Macaca fascicularis: one gene and its partner. The protein of the gene in region 1 interacts with the protein of each later gene in a biochemical or structural test. Links are inferred from orthologs where the notes say so. Each region holds a gene or a part of one and is shown in the gene's direction. Other genes may lie near its edges.

Evidence for each region.
Region 2: the proteins of KIT (region 1) and GRB7 form a complex in vitro, tested with the Homo sapiens proteins (3 studies listed by BioGRID and IntAct, with this or other methods). The link is inferred for Macaca fascicularis from reciprocal best matches to the Homo sapiens genes KIT and GRB7.

The regions. Positions count from the first base shown.
Region 1 is NC_088379.1:79,154,180-79,164,274, reverse strand, and holds the end of KIT (mast/stem cell growth factor receptor Kit), read left to right. Parts: intron 1-2,357; coding exon 2,358-2,469; intron 2,470-2,580; coding exon 2,581-2,680; intron 2,681-3,033; coding exon 3,034-3,139; intron 3,140-4,285; coding exon 4,286-4,414; 3' UTR 4,415-6,568; downstream 6,569-10,095. UniProt on the Homo sapiens protein: Tyrosine-protein kinase that acts as a cell-surface receptor for the cytokine KITLG/SCF and plays an essential role in the regulation of cell survival and proliferation, hematopoiesis, stem cell maintenance, gametogenesis, mast cell development, migration and function, and in melanogenesis.
Region 2 is NC_088390.1:60,802,517-60,812,103, forward strand, and holds the end of GRB7 (growth factor receptor-bound protein 7), read left to right. Parts: intron 1-108; exon of another isoform or gene 109-194; intron 195-2,431; exon of another isoform or gene 2,432-2,451; intron 2,452-2,688; 5' UTR 2,689-2,693; coding exon 2,694-2,848; intron 2,849-2,957; coding exon 2,958-3,108; intron 3,109-3,288; coding exon 3,289-3,445; intron 3,446-3,570; coding exon 3,571-3,692; intron 3,693-3,782; coding exon 3,783-3,860; intron 3,861-4,433; coding exon 4,434-4,571; intron 4,572-4,916; coding exon 4,917-5,027; intron 5,028-5,250; coding exon 5,251-5,349; intron 5,350-5,606; coding exon 5,607-5,687; intron 5,688-5,785; coding exon 5,786-5,902; intron 5,903-6,087; coding exon 6,088-6,148; intron 6,149-6,272; coding exon 6,273-6,360; intron 6,361-6,466; coding exon 6,467-6,560; intron 6,561-7,116; coding exon 7,117-7,263; 3' UTR 7,264-7,650; downstream 7,651-9,587. UniProt on the Homo sapiens protein: Adapter protein that interacts with the cytoplasmic domain of numerous receptor kinases and modulates down-stream signaling. Promotes activation of down-stream protein kinases, including STAT3, AKT1, MAPK1 and/or MAPK3. Promotes activation of HRAS.

The DNA.
Region 1 (10,095 bases):
GAGTGGTAATAAAAACAACTTCTCTTCATCCTTGTGCAATTTTGGAAGGAAGAATGATAAGTCGTTAATTATCCAGTCCTCTGAATATTGACCAAAGGGAGGAGGAGGAAGGTGGCAGTCTCCAGGCCCAGTCTTGATGAATTCTGTAATCTGTCTCCATTATTTCCTGGCTGTGTAATTTTGTCAAGAGTTATCCAATAACTCTGAATCTTTGTTTTTCTCCCCTTGGGAATAATAGTGATTCCTGACTGAGAAAGTTATGAGTTAATATATGTAAAGTGCTCAGGACAGTGCCAGACATATTGTTACTATTCTTTATAGATGTCTTATTTGCGATCTGAATAATCGTGATGATGGTTATATACTGTCTTGTTATTAGTTAGTGACCTTAGTTTGAATTGACAGAGGGGTTGGCTCCATCAGGCTTCCAGACTGTAGAGTCCAGTTCAAGTCAGTTGAACTAACCAATCACAGACGTCGCTTTCACCTGTCTAGTGGGTAAGGAGAATTTCTGGAACAAGATAAGAAACTCAAACATGTTACTGCCCTGCATTTATGTCATCATCATTTGAGATCTCCTTGTTACGTCAGGTTCTCTGAAGTTCTTTCCTTTCACGTGAGTTCTTCATCATTTTTCATGTCATGGCCCCTTTTAGAGTGTGGTAAAGCCTATGGAACCCTTATCAGAACACTGTTTTCGACGCCTATGATGAAATATGTAGGATTACCAAGGAAAACAGTTAAACCGAAATAACTATCACGTTATTAAGTAAATTTGTGATATGTCAGTACATGTGTTTACTACAGAGAGTAACAGGCTCTGTTAGGTTGGTGCAAAAGTAATTGTGGGTTTTGCTATTACTTTTTTCTAAAAACCACTGTAATTTTAGAGTGGTGATTAATGTAAATATGATTTTGAGATGCCTGTAAAGACTTAATAGGATATGAAGATGTTCATGAGAAAGTCGCAGGTACAGCTAATACTACTGTGGTTTATCACCTTTCTTAGTAATTTGAAGAAATGCTAAATTTCATCTAGAAATTAGCAAAAGTAAGGATGTCATTTTTCCTTTCCAAGTTCACAGGCCCCTGAATTTGACACCCATAGATCTCAGGTTAGGAGTCCTCATAGGAACTTTAGCACAACATCTAGGAAGAGAAGGGATATTGGAAGTTTGTTTTGTCTTGTTTTGTTTTTTTAAACTGACTAAAATAACTTTAACACCAAAAAAAAAAAAAAAAAGCTGTCCCAGATTTCAATCTTAAATGGATTAAGAGAAGGATTGATTTAGCTTTTTATGGCAGATTAAGATTGGGAATCCAGAATGCATCTAAGAGGAATAGTTACAGAAAGTTCATCTCAACTTTAATGGAGAGAGTTCTCCAAAGAGTCATGATCACAAGCCACTACTGTTTATTGGGTACTTGCCTTTATTCTAGGCAGTTTTTCAGATAGCACTGAGTCAGGTGGTGCTAAGCATTTTTACCCACATTGTCTTATTTAATGGGACAATTCACAAAATTCATAAAGGACAATTCATAAAATTAAAAGTGTTCATTTTGTTTTACAGAAGATACGGAGGTTTAATTACAGATATTTTAATGACTTCCCCAGTGTATTAGAGTTTTGGGTTTTGACAGAAAACCCAAAATAAAAGAAGTCTAAGGGTAGCAGGCCAGGATTGGTATAAAGATTCCATGGAGTACCTGGGCCAAGTCTTTCCCTTCCATGCTTAGCAATTCCTGGGTGTAACCCCCATGTCCATGGTCCAAGATGACCACCAGGTAGATAGCCAGCCATCACATCCAGAAGGCAGGGGGCCCTTGCACTACAGAAGAGAGGGCAGAGGGCACATGCTAGCTATATTATAAGGAGGTATTCCTGAAGCTGCCATATAGCACTTACAACTTGGTGGCCAAAACCGAGTCACCTGACTACAGCTAGCTAGCTGCAAAGGAGGCTGGGAAATGTAGTCCTAATTGTGAGAGGCCATGTTTCTGTTTTTAAGGAAGGAGAGGGACATATTCAGTGGAAACTAACAAATCTCTGCATTACCTAAGGCCCATGATAGAGCCAGAGCTAAAATGTCTGGCTGTCTCTGATGTTTGTGCTCTTAATCTCCATGCCGTACTGACATAGTGTTCACATCTTAAAATGGGGATAATGAACTTGTGAGCCATGTATTTCAGAGGTGATTGGGATCATCTGAGATTATATAGGTAGAAGGTTTTTGTGAGATGGTACTTAAGTTATCATCTCACATTTCAGCAACAGCAGCATCTATAAGAATATCTTCTGTTCAGTTTTGTTGAGCTTCTGAATTAACATTGTTGACTCTGTTGTGCTTCCATTACAGGCTCGACTACCTGTGAAGTGGATGGCACCTGAAAGCATTTTCAACTGTGTGTACACATTTGAAAGTGACGTCTGGTCCTATGGGATTTTTCTTTGGGAGCTATTCTCTTTAGGTAAAATGATCCTTGCCAAAGACACCCTCATTAGACTCAGAGCATCTTCTTGAGGTTTCATTAGTGTCCTGCTTCCTTGTGATTAACACTGCTTTGCAAACTGTGTCTCAGGAAGCAGCCCCTATCCTGGAATGCCAGTCGATTCTAAATTCTACAAGATGATCAAGGAAGGCTTCCGGATGCTCAGCCCTGAACATGCACCTGCTGAAATGTAAGGGTCGAAAAATTTTTCCTTTAGATCACATTTTCCCTTTTATTTTTCTTTTTAAAGACAGAAACCCAGATGTTGAGGGTTTTCATAACACAGTTTGAAATGTCACTTGGTTTCTTTATGACACGCTGGTCAAATGTCATTTCTGTAGTTTATTTTCATAATCTCTTGTCACCAAAAATACAGAAAGTTTCAGCAGCATTTCATACATGCAGTGTTTTATGTTATCCATATGTCAGTCCGTATGTCCAGTTGCATAGCCCTGGAATTATTACTGAAGTTGCTGGATGCCATACATTTGAAAACAGACTGAGGGTGTTGAGGAGGGATAGTAAATGGCCCTTGTCTCGCAGGTATGACATAATGAAGACTTGCTGGGATGCGGATCCCCTAAAAAGACCAACATTCAAGCAAATTGTTCAGCTAATTGAGAAGCAGATTTCAGAAAGCACCAATCATGTGAGTATACTCTGGCCGAATCCCCCTTCTCCCAGTTCCAGGTGTGTCCTCCTCCTCAGGTTTTCAAGGTGAGGACTAACCTCCCAACCCCTTCTCTCCTCATCTTAGGTTGCAAATTGGGCTTCAGGTAGGGGAAGTAAAGCAATGGAAACCAGTTCTTTCTGCCCAGCCCTCCTCTTCTGAGCCAAAGAAGGATGTGAGATGGAGGGGGAAGGGTGGAGAGTTTTGTGCTCAGTGGAAGTAGAAGTTTCCGTAAGGATTTGCCATGTTTCCTCCCCTATCTCAAATGCTGGTCATGGGGTCAGTATTTTCTCCCTCTCACGTGTCAGGGCCATTCATCCTTTGGAGGGTTGGGGTGATGTGAATAGAATAAACGCATAGAAAAGACAGCTTGTTACTGCAGTGAAATAAGCCTTCTGATCAAACAAGCATAGCCAGAAAATGGCAGATAGCTGTCATGCCCACAAGCCATATAGAATGAAGAGCTGTTTGAAGTTGGGAGATCCCTCCCAGTGATTTGGGAAGTGGGGGGGAATGAAAACTCAAATCTATTATTTCCTCTCTTGCTTTTAAGGAAGAATTAGTGATACTTTGACTCTGATTTTTTTAAGCTGCTTTCTTTACTGGGCTGTGTGCTTGGAGCTATCTTTTCTTTCCTAATAGCACACCACTGATAATTTTTGGGTTAAAGCTTGTTCTTCTGGGTTTCAAAGCGTGTTTCAACTTAAACAGCATTTTTCACCCAGTTACTTTGATTCTTGACAGGAGACCCCTGGAAGGGCCATGGGTTTCTCGGCAAATTACATTGGTTGTTGGGTTGTAGTTGGCTGTAGAGATTTACAAGCCTTTTTAGATAGGTTTGATAGTGCTTGCTCCCTGGTGTGCCCCATTAGAAGAGCTAAGCTTGTGCATGTTTTGTCCCTACTTCTTGTATGAAGTTATTTCCTTTGGAAAAATGAAGGGGAAAACAAAGCTTATATTTGTTTTGTCAGTATGACTTGGGTTTTGGCCATAAAGTTCTTGTAAACCACTTCTCTCTTAAGAGTTTCCATCAGTTAGTGGTGATCTTGACACTGTAAGTATGCCTTTTGTTGCTGTGTTCATTGTAGGGACCTGGTGTATTGACTATGCGCTTGTTTTCCCCAGATTTACTCCAACTTAGCAAACTGCAGCCCCAACCGACAGAAGCCTGTAGTGGACCATTCCGTGCGGATCAATTCTGTCGGCAGCACCGCTTCCTCCTCCCAACCTCTGCTTGTGCACGACGACGTCTGAGCAGAATGAGTGTTTGGGTCACCCCTCCAGGAATGATCTCCTCTTCTATTGGCTTCCATGATGGTTATTTTGTTTTCTTTTGACTTGCATCCAACTCCAGGATAGTGGGCACCCCACTGCAATCCTGTCTTTCTGAGCACACTTTAGTGGTTGATGATTTTTGTCATCAGCCACCATCCTATTGCAAAGGTTCGAACTGTATATATTCCTAATAGCAAAGTAGCTCCTACCATGAACAGAAAACATTCTGATTTGGAAAAAGAGAGGGAGGTATGGGCTGGGGGCCAGAGTCCTTTCCAAGGCTCCTCCAATTCTGCCCAAAAATATGGTTGATAGTTTACCTGAATAAATGGTAGTAATCACATTTGGCCTTCAGAACCATCCATAGTAGTATGATGATGCAACAAGATTAGAAGCGGAAAACCTAAGTCCTTTATGTGGAAAACAGAACATCATTAGAACAAAGGACAGAATATGAACACCTGGGCTTAAGAAATCTAGTATTTCATGCTGGGAATGAGACATAGGCCATGAAAAAAATGATCCCCAAGTGTGAACAAAAGATGCTCTTCTGTGGACCACTGCATGAGCTTTTATACTACTGACCTGGTTTTTAAACAGAGTTTGCTATTAGAGCGTTGAATTGGAGAGAAGGCCTCCCTAGCCAGAACTTGTATATACGCATCTATAAATTGTCCGTGTTCATACATTTGAGGGGAAAACACCATAAGGTTTCGTTTCTGTATACAACCCTGGCATTATGTCCACTTGTGTATAGAAGTAGATTAAGAGCCATATAAGTTTGAAGGAAATAGTTTATACCATTTTTTAAGGAAACAGTGTAACCACAAAGCACAGTCTAAAAATCTCCTCTTTTAGCTGATGAACTTACTCTATAGATTCTGCGGAACAAGTCTATCAGCTTCAGAATGGCATTGTACTCAATGGATTTGATGCTGTTTGACAAAGTTACTGATTCACTGCATGGCTCCCACAGGAGTGAGAAAACACTGCCGTCTTAGTTTCGATTCTTATGTAGCAGGAAATAAAGTTTAGGTTCAGCCTCCTTCACAGGCATGTCCTGGACGCCGGGCCAGTATCTATATATGTGTGTGTACGTTTGTATGCGTGTAGACAAATATTTGGAGGGGTATTTTTGCCCTGAGTCCAAGAGGGTCTTTTAGTACCCAAAAAGTAACTTGGCTTTCATTATTAGTACTGCTCTTGTTTCTTTTCACATAGCTATCTAGAGTAGCCTACCAGAAGCTTCCATAGTGGTGCGGAGGAAGTGGAAGGCATAAGTCCCTGTGTATTTGCAGTCCACCTGCACTTAAGGCACTCTGTTATTTAGACTCATCTTACTGTACCTGTTCCTTAGACCTTCCATAATGCTACTGTCTCACTGAAACATTTAAATTTTACCCTTTAGACTGTAGCCTGGACATTATTACTGTAGTTTACCTCTTTTAAAAAACAAAACAAAAAACTCTCCTTCCTCACTGCCCAATATAAAAGGCAAATGTGTACATGGCAGAGTTTGTGTGTTGTCTTGAAAGATTCAGGTATGTTGCCTTTATGGTTTCCCCCTTCTATGTTTCTTAGACTACATTTAGAGAACTGTGGCCATTATCTGGAAGTAATCATTTGCACTGGAGTTCTATGCTCTCGCACCTTTCCAAAGTTAACAGATTTTGGGGTTGTGTTGTCACCCAAGAGATTGTTGTTTGCCATACTTTGTCTGAAAAATTCCTTTGTGTTTCTATTGACTTCAATTATAGTAAGAAAAGTGGTTGTTAGTTATAGATGTCTAGGTACTTCAGGGGCACTTCATTGAGAGTTTTGTCTTGGATATTCTTGAAAGTTTATATTTTTATAATTTTTTCTTACATCAGATGTTTCTTTGCAGTGGCTTAACGTTTGAAATTATTTTGTGGCTTTTTTTGTAAATATTGAAATGTAGCAATAATGTCTTTTGAATATTCTGAAGCCCATGAGTCCTTGAAAATATTTTTTATATATACAGTAACTTTATGTGTAAATACATAAGCGGCGTAAGTTTAAAGGATGTTGGTGTTCCACGTGCTTTATTCCTGTATGTTGTCCAATTGTTGACAGTTCTGAAGAATTCTAATAAAATGTACATATATAAATCAAGTGGAATCATTTGATTGTTGAGATTCGTGAGATTAAACTTTAAAGCATTAAAGTGCATTCATCCTGACAACATTTTGTACTCAGTTTTCATAAAATATGTGCAAGACTATCAGATCATACTAGGATTTACATACTTAGAGATTGAACAGATATTAAGAATTTTCATCCGTGTGATATTTTCTCATTTTAGTCTTACAACCTGAGGTCTCTATTTAAATTGAAAAATAGATACAGTGAACATTCTAAGAATTTTACACATAGCTATGATTACTATTAGATTGATTCATGTGAATTTTTGGTATTCACGTGAATTTGCTGCCATTTTTGGCAGCAAAATAATGGTCAAATAACAGCAACTTCATGTGGCTTAATTTAATATGACTGGCATGTTTCCTCCCAGAAGAGACCGTCTAAAAACATGAACAGTAAAATAATAGACCAAGCTAACATGAGGAATCCCAAGAAAGTGGCTTGTATTCTTGTTGGCTTGGGTTTTGAAGACAGGTCATTTCAAAATGAGATATTCATGCTCCACCTGAAGTCCTTATTCTTACTTGCTTCTGGAACAGAGTTAGGTTCCACTTCGACTTGGAGGGAGGTGCTTAGTATGTATGAACTGGGTGCCGTCATGCGGGTGAAACATTCTGCATGCCCAAGTGATACCGTCCAGACCACTGGAACCCAAACAGAGGCTGAGAGTCCTTCAGCTTGAAACAAAGGAGGCACCCTGAATCACATAATCCTATTAAGAATGAATTAGGCACCCACACACTCTCAGTCATGACTGCCTTTATTGATGTGACATCTACACCTGCAGAAATGTCTCCTGAGAGGAAAGGGAAGGAGTGAAAAGTGACCTGTAATGAAAAGGAATCCTTTTAAAATCAAGAGGGAATTGTGTGGCAAAGAATGCGTCAATAATCAGTGAAAAACACCCACATTTCAGTCAGGCGATTCCCATTATTTTATTACAGACAGGAATGAATGCTAATTGACCACAAAACAAAGAAGTCTTTTCTTTCCAAATGTTTTCGCTGTCATTTAGCCTTTGTCATGTGTGAGGAATTTGCGTTAGAAGCGGTTGACAGGCCCCTGTGTTAGGAGTCTAGCTAATTTTCCTCACCAGCCTAGCTTTTCAAAGGAAAGTAATACCAGGTCTTGGTGCCCAGGCTCAAACTTGGTTCAAATCTCAGTGCCACCCCTGTCTCTACCACTTACTGATGTGTGACATTAGGCAGATTAGCTCTTGAAATCTCAGTTCGTGGGAGTAGTGTCTACCTTGATGTATTAATGTGAAGCTGTCGAGACCAGCTCGTTCATATGCCTAATAAGTTTTGCCATGGCCAATTCACCTTATTAAGCAGGGAGGGTGGTGCTTCTGTACTGACACAACTCATATAAAATTATACAATCAAAAACTTGCTTCTAATTTTCTTAGGTGCAAACAGTATTGTACAAGTGTGCTGCAAAACTTGACGTTGCTATAAAGATTTCTGGGTGGTGGTGGTTTTTTTTTTTTTCTTAAATCCCGGTGTTTGGCCAGGAATTCAAAACTCTCTATTCTTGCTCCAGCCTTCCTTCCTACTTCTCTCCCATTATCTAAGGCCCATGAGTGTGCCCCATGCTCTTCTCTGCTTCCATTCTCAGACTGCATACTGTCCCTTCTCTCCAAGAAGACAGACCCGCAAAATCATCTCGATGGGAAGTTGTCGCTGAACTCCCACAGCACTCTTTACTTTTTATGGCTCTTACAATTGATTTTCCAATTATTTTGGCTCTTGTCTTGTCCCCATCCCCACTATATCCAGACTTAAAATCAGTTAACATAAAATTCCCGTATGTGCCAGGGTTACTGCATTTACTTGTTTAAATATTGAATTGTCCAGACACTCAGGGGTTAAATTGCCCAAGAGGTTGCAAGAGTTTACGTTTTGCCCAAGTTCACTGAGCAGTACATGAAGCCAGACTTAGAATCCAGATCTGTACCTCAGTGATGGCAAATACCTGGTCTTCCCACGCTGGTGTCTCCAACCACCCTGGCCATGCAGACATCACTCATCTGCCACCACACCCTCCAACTGAGCCCAGGTGCCTTAGAAGTCACAGTCTTCTCCAACAAGCTGATATGAATCAATTGGTGTTAGCCTGCAGAGAGACTTACCTGTCCCCTTTAAATGATGACCAAGTTTCCATCTTCCTGAGGGACAGATGTTCTTCATCTCAGACACCCCCAAAGCTGCTAGCACAGTACTTCAAGAGTGGTTCTTTTTGAACAAATAATTGAACATCCCATCAGTGTTTGGAGTGGGAGAGAGCCATTTGGGAGGAAATGGGCCCAAGAAAGAGGGGAAATAGAAGAAGACAGAAGGCAGTGAAGTTAGCTTAATTTCACATGATGGGGTGGCACTTTGGGGAGAAGGGAAGGGGAACTAGAAACATTCCTTTGGACAGCCTTACTGAGGCCTATACAGAGGCTTTGTGGGAACAAGGAGAAGAGAAGAAAAGGAAGGCGTTGGTAGACTGGGAAGGGTGGAGAGGAAGGGAAAGTGGCAGGAGTGCTCTTCCTTATTCAGAAGCAGGGAGAGGAGCTGAAGCTGACAAGCAGTTTCTGGGCTTGAGGTGCAGAAGCTGAAGACAGGAAGACCGTGCCGCCCCACACTTGGTCTTGGAGAAGGTCAGCAGCACTGGCGTCTGCATGAGAAAACGCCCCACGGGAGAGGTCTCGGGATGAGCAAGGCTTCAGGAAGCACCAGCTGGGCAGCCTTTGAGTGAACCTTTATGAAGAAAAGTGTATGGGTTTGCTAGGGCTGCCATAATAAAGCAGTTGAAACTGGCTGGCTTCCGTATGGAAACTGATTGTCCCACAGTCCTGGAGGCTAGAAGTCTGAGATCAGGGTGTTGGCAGGGTCAGTTCTTTCTGAGCACTGTGAGACTCTGCCCCATGCCTCTGCCAGCTTCTGGTGCTTTGTCGGCAGTCTTTGGCATTCTTTGTACATCTCTGTCTTCAACTTCAACTTCACATGGTGCTCTCCCTGTGTGTGTGTCTGTGTCCAAGTTCCCCCTTTTGGTGAAGACACTAGTCATATTGGATTAGGGGTTCAACCTATTCCAGTACAAGTTCATTTTAACTAATTACATCTCCCAAGACCTTATTTCCAGTAAGGCCATATTCTCAAGTACTAGGAGTTATGGATATGACTTCAACATAGGAATTTGGAAGACACAATTCAACCCAGAACAAAAAAATCTCAAAACCCTCTTGATTGCAGGTGACCTGGTCTTCCCTAGAGTACTGAAATGGGCTCTCTAAAAACTCTTGAATGATCTCCAAAGTTCCAATTTCAGAGCCCTCTGTTCAATCATTGCATTACCTAGAGCAGTGTTTAGAACAGAGTCTGGTCTGTAGCAACCACTCAATTGTCAAATAAATGAAGCTTTATGCATTGAAATACTCCTCCTTGTAACTTGCCTTCTTGCCTGCATTCTCTGCTCCTCCTCTTTGTCTTCCTCCAGCACCCTTTTAAAAG
Region 2 (9,587 bases), on another chromosome or scaffold:
GTTGTTTTCTGTTGGCCCTGAACACCGGGCCCCGCCACCCGCCCTTAGGGCCAGCCAGGTGGGGCGTGATTCAGGAAGTAAACAAGGAGGTTGGGAGGACGGGAACGCGGGTGGGGCTGGAGCCACTGGGGGAGGAGGCAGCTGGGAAGACACCGCCGGAGTTACCTCGTTGAGGGGACAAACTGATTTTGGAGGTCGGTTTTTCCAACCGAAACTTTCCCGGTGCCTCAGTTTCAAAACTCCAGATCTCTAAGCTGCCAGGCCTACAGCCAGGAGCCCTTCCCCTCCCTGCTCGCCTCTTTGGTCTTGAGGATTCCACCCGCCTCCAGCCTTAGAAGGGGCTGAAGGGCCCGGGTGGGGGGATCTGAAGGCAAACCCCAGCCTTAGGCTGGCCCTCTCTGATCTCTGAGGCCAGGCTGTAATGTGATTCGAATCCACTTCTAACCCCTTCCAAGCGCTGCCCGCCTGAATTCTCTGCTCCTCTCCCCATCCCACTGTTGGCCCCCTGCAACCTGGAATGAAGTCACCAGGGCTGTTTGGAGACCGGGGCTGTTTGGAGGGTAGACTGGGGTGGGAGTGGGGGATCGTGTTCTGATATTGAGGTGCTGGTGTCTCTTGCTAGCGGGTGGCGGGTATATCTTGCCCCTCCTGGCCAGACCCTGGGCCCCCTCCCTGGCCCTTCATCCTGTCTGTCTTTTTGAGTGTTTTCCCTTTCTGCTCCTGCTCCTGTGGTACCCCTCTGGCCGGGACACCCAGGAGAATGTGTCGGGAGGAACCTCATCCACACGGGGCGGGGGCTCTGAGCGATGCTTTGGGTGGGGAGGGGCACCGCTGGGACGCTGGCTTCTCTCCAAATGGGCCTCTGAATCCAGGCCGGGCATTGCCTCTCTCTTTCCCAGGTGAGGGACTCCCTGGCAAGGCGGTGGTTTGGCACTGGGGGTGAGAGCAGATCACAGGTCCCACCTGGCCTGGAGCAAGGCCGAGGGTGGGGAGGAGGAGGTGATGTCAGAGGAGCCTCAGGCCCCACATGTTCCTCCCCCATCCTGTTCCCAGCCCCATGCCTCCCCCATTCGGCTGTGGCTACCATTGGATTGGGGAGTTGGGGGGAGGGTAGAGGCAGGGCTGTTTTTGTTTCTCCTAAGCCAGGAAGTTGTGTGGATGAGTCAAGGTTGAATGGAGAGCCCTAGGCAGTGTTGTCCCGCCTGCCCTGACTCACCTGTCCCCCAAATCCCCTGATGCCCTCACTGAGGGGTCAGGTGCCTGCGCCCTCCTGAGGGGTCAATCCCAGGTGCCCCAGGTGGCCTCATAGTACTGGCCCAGTGTTCGGAGAACAGGCTAGGGGCTGGGATTGCAGGTTCTCCCAGGTCTCAGTCCAGCCAAAGGGGTCTGCCTGGTTCCTGAGGAGGAGGGGCCAGCCCCACCTCCACCTCTAGTGCCGGCTCTCCTGTCTTTACTTGTCCTGAGTGTCTGTGCAGCCCCTGTAAGTGATAAGACATGGGTGAGATTGGCCTTGCCTGGGGGTACCGGGTGCCCTTGGACAAATGAGTGGATAGGACAGGTGCGCAGTAATGGATGATGTAGCCCCTGCACAGTGCTGAGAGGGAGTCGTTCACTCAGAATGTGGAAAGCCAGGAAGGCTTCTCAGAGGAAGTGGCTCTAGCATTGGAGCCTCAGGAAAGAGTTGGGCAGGAGGATGGCCTGGGGAGGGTACGCAAGGTTTAGGGGCTGCTGTGGCCAGGACGCCTACCCCAGGTCTCCTCTCCCCCTTGCACTGAAGCGGAGCCGGCTCTCCTGACTTTCTGGCTCCCATCCTTCCCCACCTCCTTCTCCCCCCTGCATCACTCATCACTTGGGCAGGCCAAACTTCACCAAGTACGAACAGGCTCTGGCAACTGGGTCTGGCAACACAGTGCTGGAAAAACCCGGGCAGTGCCTGGAGCAGTGAGTGCCCCACGCGTGGAGGCAAAGGAGTGGACCTTTGCCCTGACCCTGAGGGCTGAGCCTGAGAGTGTGTGGGTTGTGAAATCTGTTGTGACCACCAGGCTTGTGGTGGGTGGACCCTCAGCTCTTCCTGTGAGCAACTTTGTGCTAAAGAAAGAGCACTGGAGCTGGGCGCAGTGGCTCACGCCTGTAATCCCAGCACTTTGGGAGGCCAAGGCGGACGGATCAGGAGTTCGAGACCAGCCTGGCCAACGTGGTGAAACCCTATCTCTACTAAAAATACAAAAATTAGCTGGGCATGGTGGCATGCACCTATAATCCCAGTTACTCGGGAGGTTAAGGCAAGAGAATCGCTTGAACCCAGGAGGCAGAGGTTGCAGTGAAAAAAAAAAACAAAAAAAAAAAACCAGAAAGAGCACTGGACTTGGAGTCTAAACACCAGGTTCTACTCCTGACTCACCTGTGACTCAGGGCACCAGGTTCTACTCCCCGACTCACCTGTGACTGAGGGTAAGAATGCTTCCTTCTCAGAGACTCAGTGTCCCCTTTTATAAAATGAGGCTCATTCTGTCTTTCCCCAAGGGCTTCAGGGAAACTCCAGTTAGAGCAGTGAGGTGCTAGGTAAACTCTGAGGGGCACCCTAACCACCGTGTGAGGTCAGGAGGTCTGATTTCTCTAGTCCCCTCTCCCCAGGACAAGGGCACACAACTGACACAACTGGTTCCATTCTGCCCCTCTCTCCCTCAGATGCCATGGAGCTGGATCTGTCTCCACCTCATCTTGGCAGCTCTCCGGAAGACCTTTGCCCAGCCCCCGGGACCCCTCCTGGGACTCCCCGGCCCCCTGATACCTCTCTGCCTGAGGAGGTAAAGAGGTCCCAGCCTCTCCTCATCCCAACCACCGGCAGGTACGACGGGATGTGGGGCTTGGGGGAGGTCAGTGCTGGATAATACACAGCGGCTTGCAGGCCACTGCTCCTTTCCCCACACCTCTCTCCCTTTTTCTTCTTGCCACAGGAAACTTCGAGAGGAGGAGCGGCGTGCCACCTCCCTCCCCTCCATCCCCAACCCCTTCCCTGAGCTCTGCAGTCCTCCCTCACAGAGCCCCATTCTTGGGGGCCCCTCTAGTGCAAGAGGGCTGCTCCCCCGCGATGCCAGCCGCCCCCATGTGAGTTGTCCCTCAGAAGGGAAGGGAGGGATGCAGGGTTCTGGATCTGTGGGAGATACACAGCCATTTCCATGGAGGCGGGGGATCTTGGTTAGGAGTCCCTGAGGGTCTAGCAGGTGTGGAAAGGGAAGGAATCACCCTTTGCCTCCCCTCAAGTCATCTGCAATTCCTGGGGCACAGGTAGTAAAGGTGTACAGTGAGGACGGGGCCTGCAGGTCTGTGGAGGTGGCGGCAGGTGCCACAGCTCGCCATGTGTGTGAAATGCTGGTGCAGCGAGCTCACGCTTTGAGCGACGAGACCTGGGGGCTGGTGGAGTGCCACCCCCACCTAGCACTGGGTAAGTCGGGTGCATGGAACTACCCAGGCTGGGAGGTGATGTCTCGCATCTTGGGCTAGGCATGTGACTCATCTGGGAGATCTGGTTGATCTCCAATAACCCCTGCTTTTTGCCCTTGACCCCAGAGCGGGGTTTGGAGGACCACGAGTCCGTGGTGGAAGTGCAGGCTGCCTGGCCCGTGGGCGGAGATAGCCGCTTCGTCTTCCGGAAAAACTTCGCCAAGTACGAACTGTTCAAGAGCTCCCCAGTGAGTGTGTGAGGGCTGTCTGGGCGCTGGGATGCCCTGAGCCTGAACCGGACACTGGAGCCCTGACCCCTGACACTTTTCTACCCTCAGCACTCCCTGTTCCCAGAAAAAATGGTCTCCAGCTGTCTCGATGCACACACTGGTATATCCCATGAAGACCTCATCCAGGTGGGGAGACCCCCCCCATTTCACGACTCCCCAGAACTGACCAGTGCTTCTCTGCCCTTAGGTCCTGTGCCTCCCCTCTATGTGGTAGAAAGAGCCAAACCACAGTCCTGTGTGACTGGGGACAACTCACTTTCCCTACCTGAGCATCAGTTTCTTCTGTTAAATGGGGGCGAGAAATGCATGTGGAGCATTTCCTTGTAAAAACCTGAGGGTGGGCTGGGTGTGGTGGCTCATGCCTGTAATCCCAGCACTTTGGGAGGTTGAGGCAGGAGGATTACTTGAGCCCAGAAGTTTGAGACCACCCTGGGCAACATAGTGAGACCTTGTCTCTCCAAAAAAAAAAAAAAAAAAAAAAAGGAAAAGGCCAGGAATGGTGGCATGAGCCTGGTCTCAGGTGCTTGGGAGGCTGAGGTGGGAGGATCACTTGAGCTCGGGAGGTCGAGGTTGCAGTGAGCTGTGATCGTGCCACTGCACTAGCATAAGACCCCATCTCAAAAAGAAAAAGAAGACATCTGGTGGTAGAGGGGAAGGGAGGAGGCCAGACCTCCCACTCTCTTCTCTTCTCTGGCTCAGAACTTCCTGAATGCTGGCAGCTTCCCTGAGATCCAGGGCTTTCTGCAGCTGCGGGGTTCAGGACGGAAGCTTTGGAAACGCTTTTTCTGCTTCTTGCGCCGATCTGGCCTCTATTACTCCACCAAGGGCACCTCTAAGGTGAGGTCTTGAGAGTGCCAGCTCCAGCCTCTGCAGTCCCTGGTCCTTTTAGAAGTTGCCCCTTCTCTGCTGGAACCCCTGAGCCCTTCTCCCCCCGTGCCCCCCAGGCCAACCACCTCCAGTTTACCATCTCTCCCTACATCCTTGCCCAGCTCACCTGCCCAGGGAGGTAGCAGGAGAAAAGATGACCTGAGTTTAAGTCCTGGCTCTACTTCTATTTGCTCTGTGACCCTGGGCACTCCCCTGCCCCTCTCTGGTCCTGAAATCTCCCCACCTGGCTTGTGGGGGGAGGTAATAGCGGGTGGGGTCCACCTGTACCAAGTCCTGCTCACTCGTGCTGCTCAGGATCCGAGGCACCTGCAATACGTGGCAGATGTGAACGAGTCCAACGTGTACGTGGTGACGCAAGGCCGCAAGCTCTACGGGATGCCCACCGACTTTGGCTTCTGTGTCAAGGTGAAGACCTGGCCAGGCCTGGCCCCTGGCCTGCGGAAGCAGGAACTGCTCAGGCCCCTGGATCCTGCCTAGGGCTTCTGAGTCCCAATCCAGATGCCCAGGCTCCTCTCCCTGCACCCTGGCCTGCTGGAAACTCCCTGGATCCTGCTCTGCTCTGTGGAGCAGGGACAGACATGTAGTCCCAAAGGCAGATACGGGACCAGCCAGTTTCCTCTCTCCGCAGCCCAACAAGCTTCGAAATGGCCACAAGGGGCTTCGGATCTTCTGCAGTGAAGATGAGCAGAGCCGCACCTGCTGGCTGGCTGCCTTCCGCCTCTTCAAGGTGAGACCCTGGGAGTGGCATGGGGGGCTGATCTGGCCAGAGGGATTCCCAGCTCTGCCCCCAGGAAGTCTCAGGAATGAGGAGGGCATCACAGCCTTGCTCTCTGATAACGCTCAGTCCAAGCCTGAAGTTACAGGAAGCGCCCATTGAAGGCAGAAACACAGCCCTAGTCTGGGCAAGTCCTGGTTTGAAGGGGGGTCACAGCCACGCCCCCAGGACCTCTCGACCTCAAGCGCTCTTTCTCTCCCCACCCCCAGTACGGGGTGCAGCTGTACAGGAATTACCAGCAGGCACAGTCTCGCCATCTGCGTCCGCCTTGTTTGGGTTCCCCACCCTTGGTGAGTGCGCACAAGGGGATGGAAGGGTGGGCACGCAGGCCCTGTCTTAGGGGTACCTGGGCCCTGTTCTGACCTCTCCCCTCTCCTTCCATCTCCAGAGAAGTGTCTCAGATAATACCCTGGTGGCCATGGACTTCTCTGGCCATGCCGGGCGCGTCATTGAGAACCCCCGGGAGGCTCTGAGTGTGGCCCTGGAGGAGGCCCACGCCTGGAGGGTGAGGCCTGCTGCCTGTGTGTTGGTGCTGGGGACCCACTCTCTGGGTGGGATCCCTGAAATAGGAGGGAGGAAGAGGGGCAGGGGGAGGCCCCCTGGCTGGGGAGAAGTGCTCTACCTTCCTGAGGTGCTGGGTAATGCCCGCAAGCACACCCCGACTCTCCCATATCTCCCACTGCTCCACAGAAGAAGACAAACCACCGCCTCAGCCTGCCTACGCCGGCCTCCGGCACGAGCCTCAGTGCAGGTGTGTGATGGCCCTGAGTCCTGGGGCAGGGGCTGCCTCGACTTCTCTTTGCATTCTCAGTGGGGAGCAGATGGTATAGGGGTCCCCTCCCCAAAGTGACTGCCCATGTCCTTCCCCACCGCAGCCATCCACCGCACCCAACTCTGGTTCCACGGGCGCATTTCCCGTGAGGAGAGCCAGCGGCTTATTGGACAGCAGGGCTTGGTAGACGGGTAAGGGGCAGGGCCGGGCAACAGACCCAGGGATAAGAGAGACCGGGGTCCAGGTGGCAGCCATGGGTCCTCGGGTAATGCTGCCCTATCTCCTGTCTTCTGGCAGCCTGTTCCTGGTCCGGGAGAGTCAGCGGAACCCCCAGGGCTTTGTCCTCTCTTTGTGCCACCTGCAGAAAGTGAAGCATTATCTCATCCTGCCGGTGAGCTTCTCTGCGTCCCCGGAGTCCTGCAATGAGACACAGGACTCCCAGCAACCTGTCCTCCTCACCAGGCCCCTCCAGAGGCTCCCTGGCCCCTAGTGCGTCTCCCTTTTCCCTGCCCAAGAAGTGGGAGGCTGAGTGCGGTGGCTCACACCTGTAATCCCAGCACTTGGGAAGGCCAAGGTGGGAGAATGGTTTGAGCCCAGGAGTTCGAGACCAGCCTGGGCAACACAGGGAGACCCCATCTCTACAAATAATTTAAAAATGAGCCAGGCATGGTGGTGCACACCTGTAGTCCCAGCTACTCAGGAGGCTGAGGTGGGAGCATTGCTTGAGCCCAGAGGGTCAAGGCTGCAGTGAGCCATGGTGGCACCACCACACTCCAGCCTGGATGACAGAGTGAGAAAACCCTGTCTCCAAAAAAAAAAAAGAAAAAAGAAAAGAAAGAAAAGAAAAGAAAAAAGAAGAAAATGAAATGGGTGGGGCCCTGGCCCAGGAGGGAGCTCCCTAAGCCTCGGGCCCCTCCCTGACCTTCCCCCCCTCTACTGTACCCCAGAGCGAGGAGGAGGGCCGCCTGTACTTCAGCATGGATGATGGCCAGACCCGCTTCACTGACCTGCTGCAGCTCGTGGAGTTCCACCAGCTGAACCGCGGCATCCTGCCATGCTTGCTGCGCCACTGCTGCACGCGGGTGGCCCTCTGACCAGGCCATGGACTGGCTCATGCCTCAGCCCGCCTTCAGGCTGCCCACCGCCTCTCCACCCATCCAGTGGACTCTGGGACGTGGCAGCGGGGAACGGGATGAGGAGCGGAAGGGTTCCCCCACTCCAGTTTTCTCCTCTGCTTCTTTGCCTCCCTCAGGTAGAAACCAGCCCCTGCTCCAGTTCACTCCTGACCCCTCTCCTCAAGGGAAGGCCTGGGGTGGCCCCTCCCCTTCTCCTAGCTCCGGAGTTGCTGCTCTAGGGCAGGGCATTATGGGAGAATTGGGGGCAGCCCAGGCAGTCTCATGCCCCACACTCTGTACAGACTGAGAGGCCAGTTGATCTGCTCTGTTTTATACCAGTGACAATAAAGATTATTTTTTGATATACCTATGAGTTCTGTCTAGCAAGGCCTGGCTGGCTGAAGTCAAGAAGGGAACCAGAGCTGGGTGTGGTGGCTCACGCCTATAATCCCAGCACCTTGGGAGGCCAAGGTAGGAGGATCACTTGAGTCCAGGAATTTGAGACCAGCCTGGGCAACATGGCAAGACCCTATCCCAACAAAAAATAAAAAAATGAGCCGGGCGTGGTGGTGGGCACCTGTAGTCCCAGCTACTCAGGAGGCTGAGGTGGGAGGATCCCTTGTCCCTTGAGCCTGGGATATCAAGGCTGCAGTGAACTGAGATTGCACCACTGCACTCAGCCTGGGTGACAGAGTGAGACCCTGTCTGGAAAAAAAAAAAAAAAAAAGGCGTGGGGGGGAGACCCAGAGAGGTGGGCACCTGTGGAAGCCTTGGTGAAAGTGTCAAATGGATCGAGGCCATGTCCCTGCCTGCCTGGGTGTTCCTCAAGGGCAGGAGTGGTCATGGTTATCTGAGAGTCTCCAGTGCCCACCATGCAGCCTGACACATAGTGGGCGCCCAGTCATTGCTAAGTGAATGGACAAGAGACCATCATCCCAGAGAGATTTCCTGACAGTCTAAGCCTCGAGGGGTAACTAACAGGGCCTGGGAGTTGCAGATGAGTCCAACAGCATGCTTGTCCTCCGCTGGTCCTGGACTAGCTGGTGGGACAGTTGGCCCCAGCATGTACACAGTTATGCATCCAGCCCCACCACCAAGACACAGAACGGCCCCATTGCCCCCCACAAGTCCCTGTGTCCCCTACTACCAACCCTGCTCCCTCCTCCCCAACCTGAAACCTTTCTGTCCTAGTTCTGCCCCTTCCAGAAAGCCATATAAATGGAACCTGCTAGCATTCAGCCCTCTGCATCTGGCTTCGCTCTCCAACACATCCTTCAGCACCCAGAGCGATCTTTCCCAAATCTAAATCCACCACTCCTGGCCGGGCGCGGTGGCTCACAGCTGTGATCCCAGCACTTTGGGAGGCTGAGGCAGGCGGATCCCAGCACTTTGGGAGGCTGAGGTCAGGAATTCGAGACCAGCCTGGCCAACATGGCAAAACCCCATCTCTACTAAAAATACACAAATTAGCTGGGGCATGGTGGCGGGCGCCTGTAATCCCAGCTACTAGGGAGGCTGAGGCAGGAGAACCGCTTGAACCCAGGAGGCGGAGGTTGCAGTGAGCCGAGATCATGCCACTGCACTCCAGCCTGGACAACAAGAGCAAGACTCAGTCTCAAAAGTAAGTAAGTAAGTAAGTAAGTAAATAAATAAATAAATCCACCACTCTCCTGTGCCTCCAATTAAGCCTAGATAATATTCTATTGTTAGCCTCTCTGTCAATCAGCTCATTGGAGACTGTGAGACAGATCTCTGGCCTCTGCCCACTGCTCACACCAGTCTATGTTTTTGTCTAAGAGGTTTTTTTATTTTGTTTTTTGAGATGGAGTCTCACTTTACTGCACAAGCTAGAATGCAGTGGCACGGTCTCAGCTCACTACAACCTCCACCTCCTGGGTTCAAGCAATTCTCCTGCCTCATCCTCCCAAGTAACTGGGATTACAGGCGCTTGCCACCATGCCTGGCTAATTTTTTGTATTTGTGGTAGAGACGGGGTTTCACCATATTGGCCAGGCTGGCCTTGAACTCCTGACCTCAAGTGATCCACCCACCTTGTCCTCACAAAGTGCTGGGATTACAGACACAAGCCACCGTGCCCAGCCTTGTCTAAGAGTTTTTTAGTTTGAGCTTTTACCTGATGGGAGCTCGTTAATAAATGTATCAGATTCACTGCACCTGAACTTGCTGCTCAACTCAGGAGACAGACCCTCCTGCAGACATGTGAACCCCAACTAGTCATTGTTTTTGTCAAAACACCAAACTTGAATCTGATTCCTTGGATTCAACAACTAGTTTACAGGAAA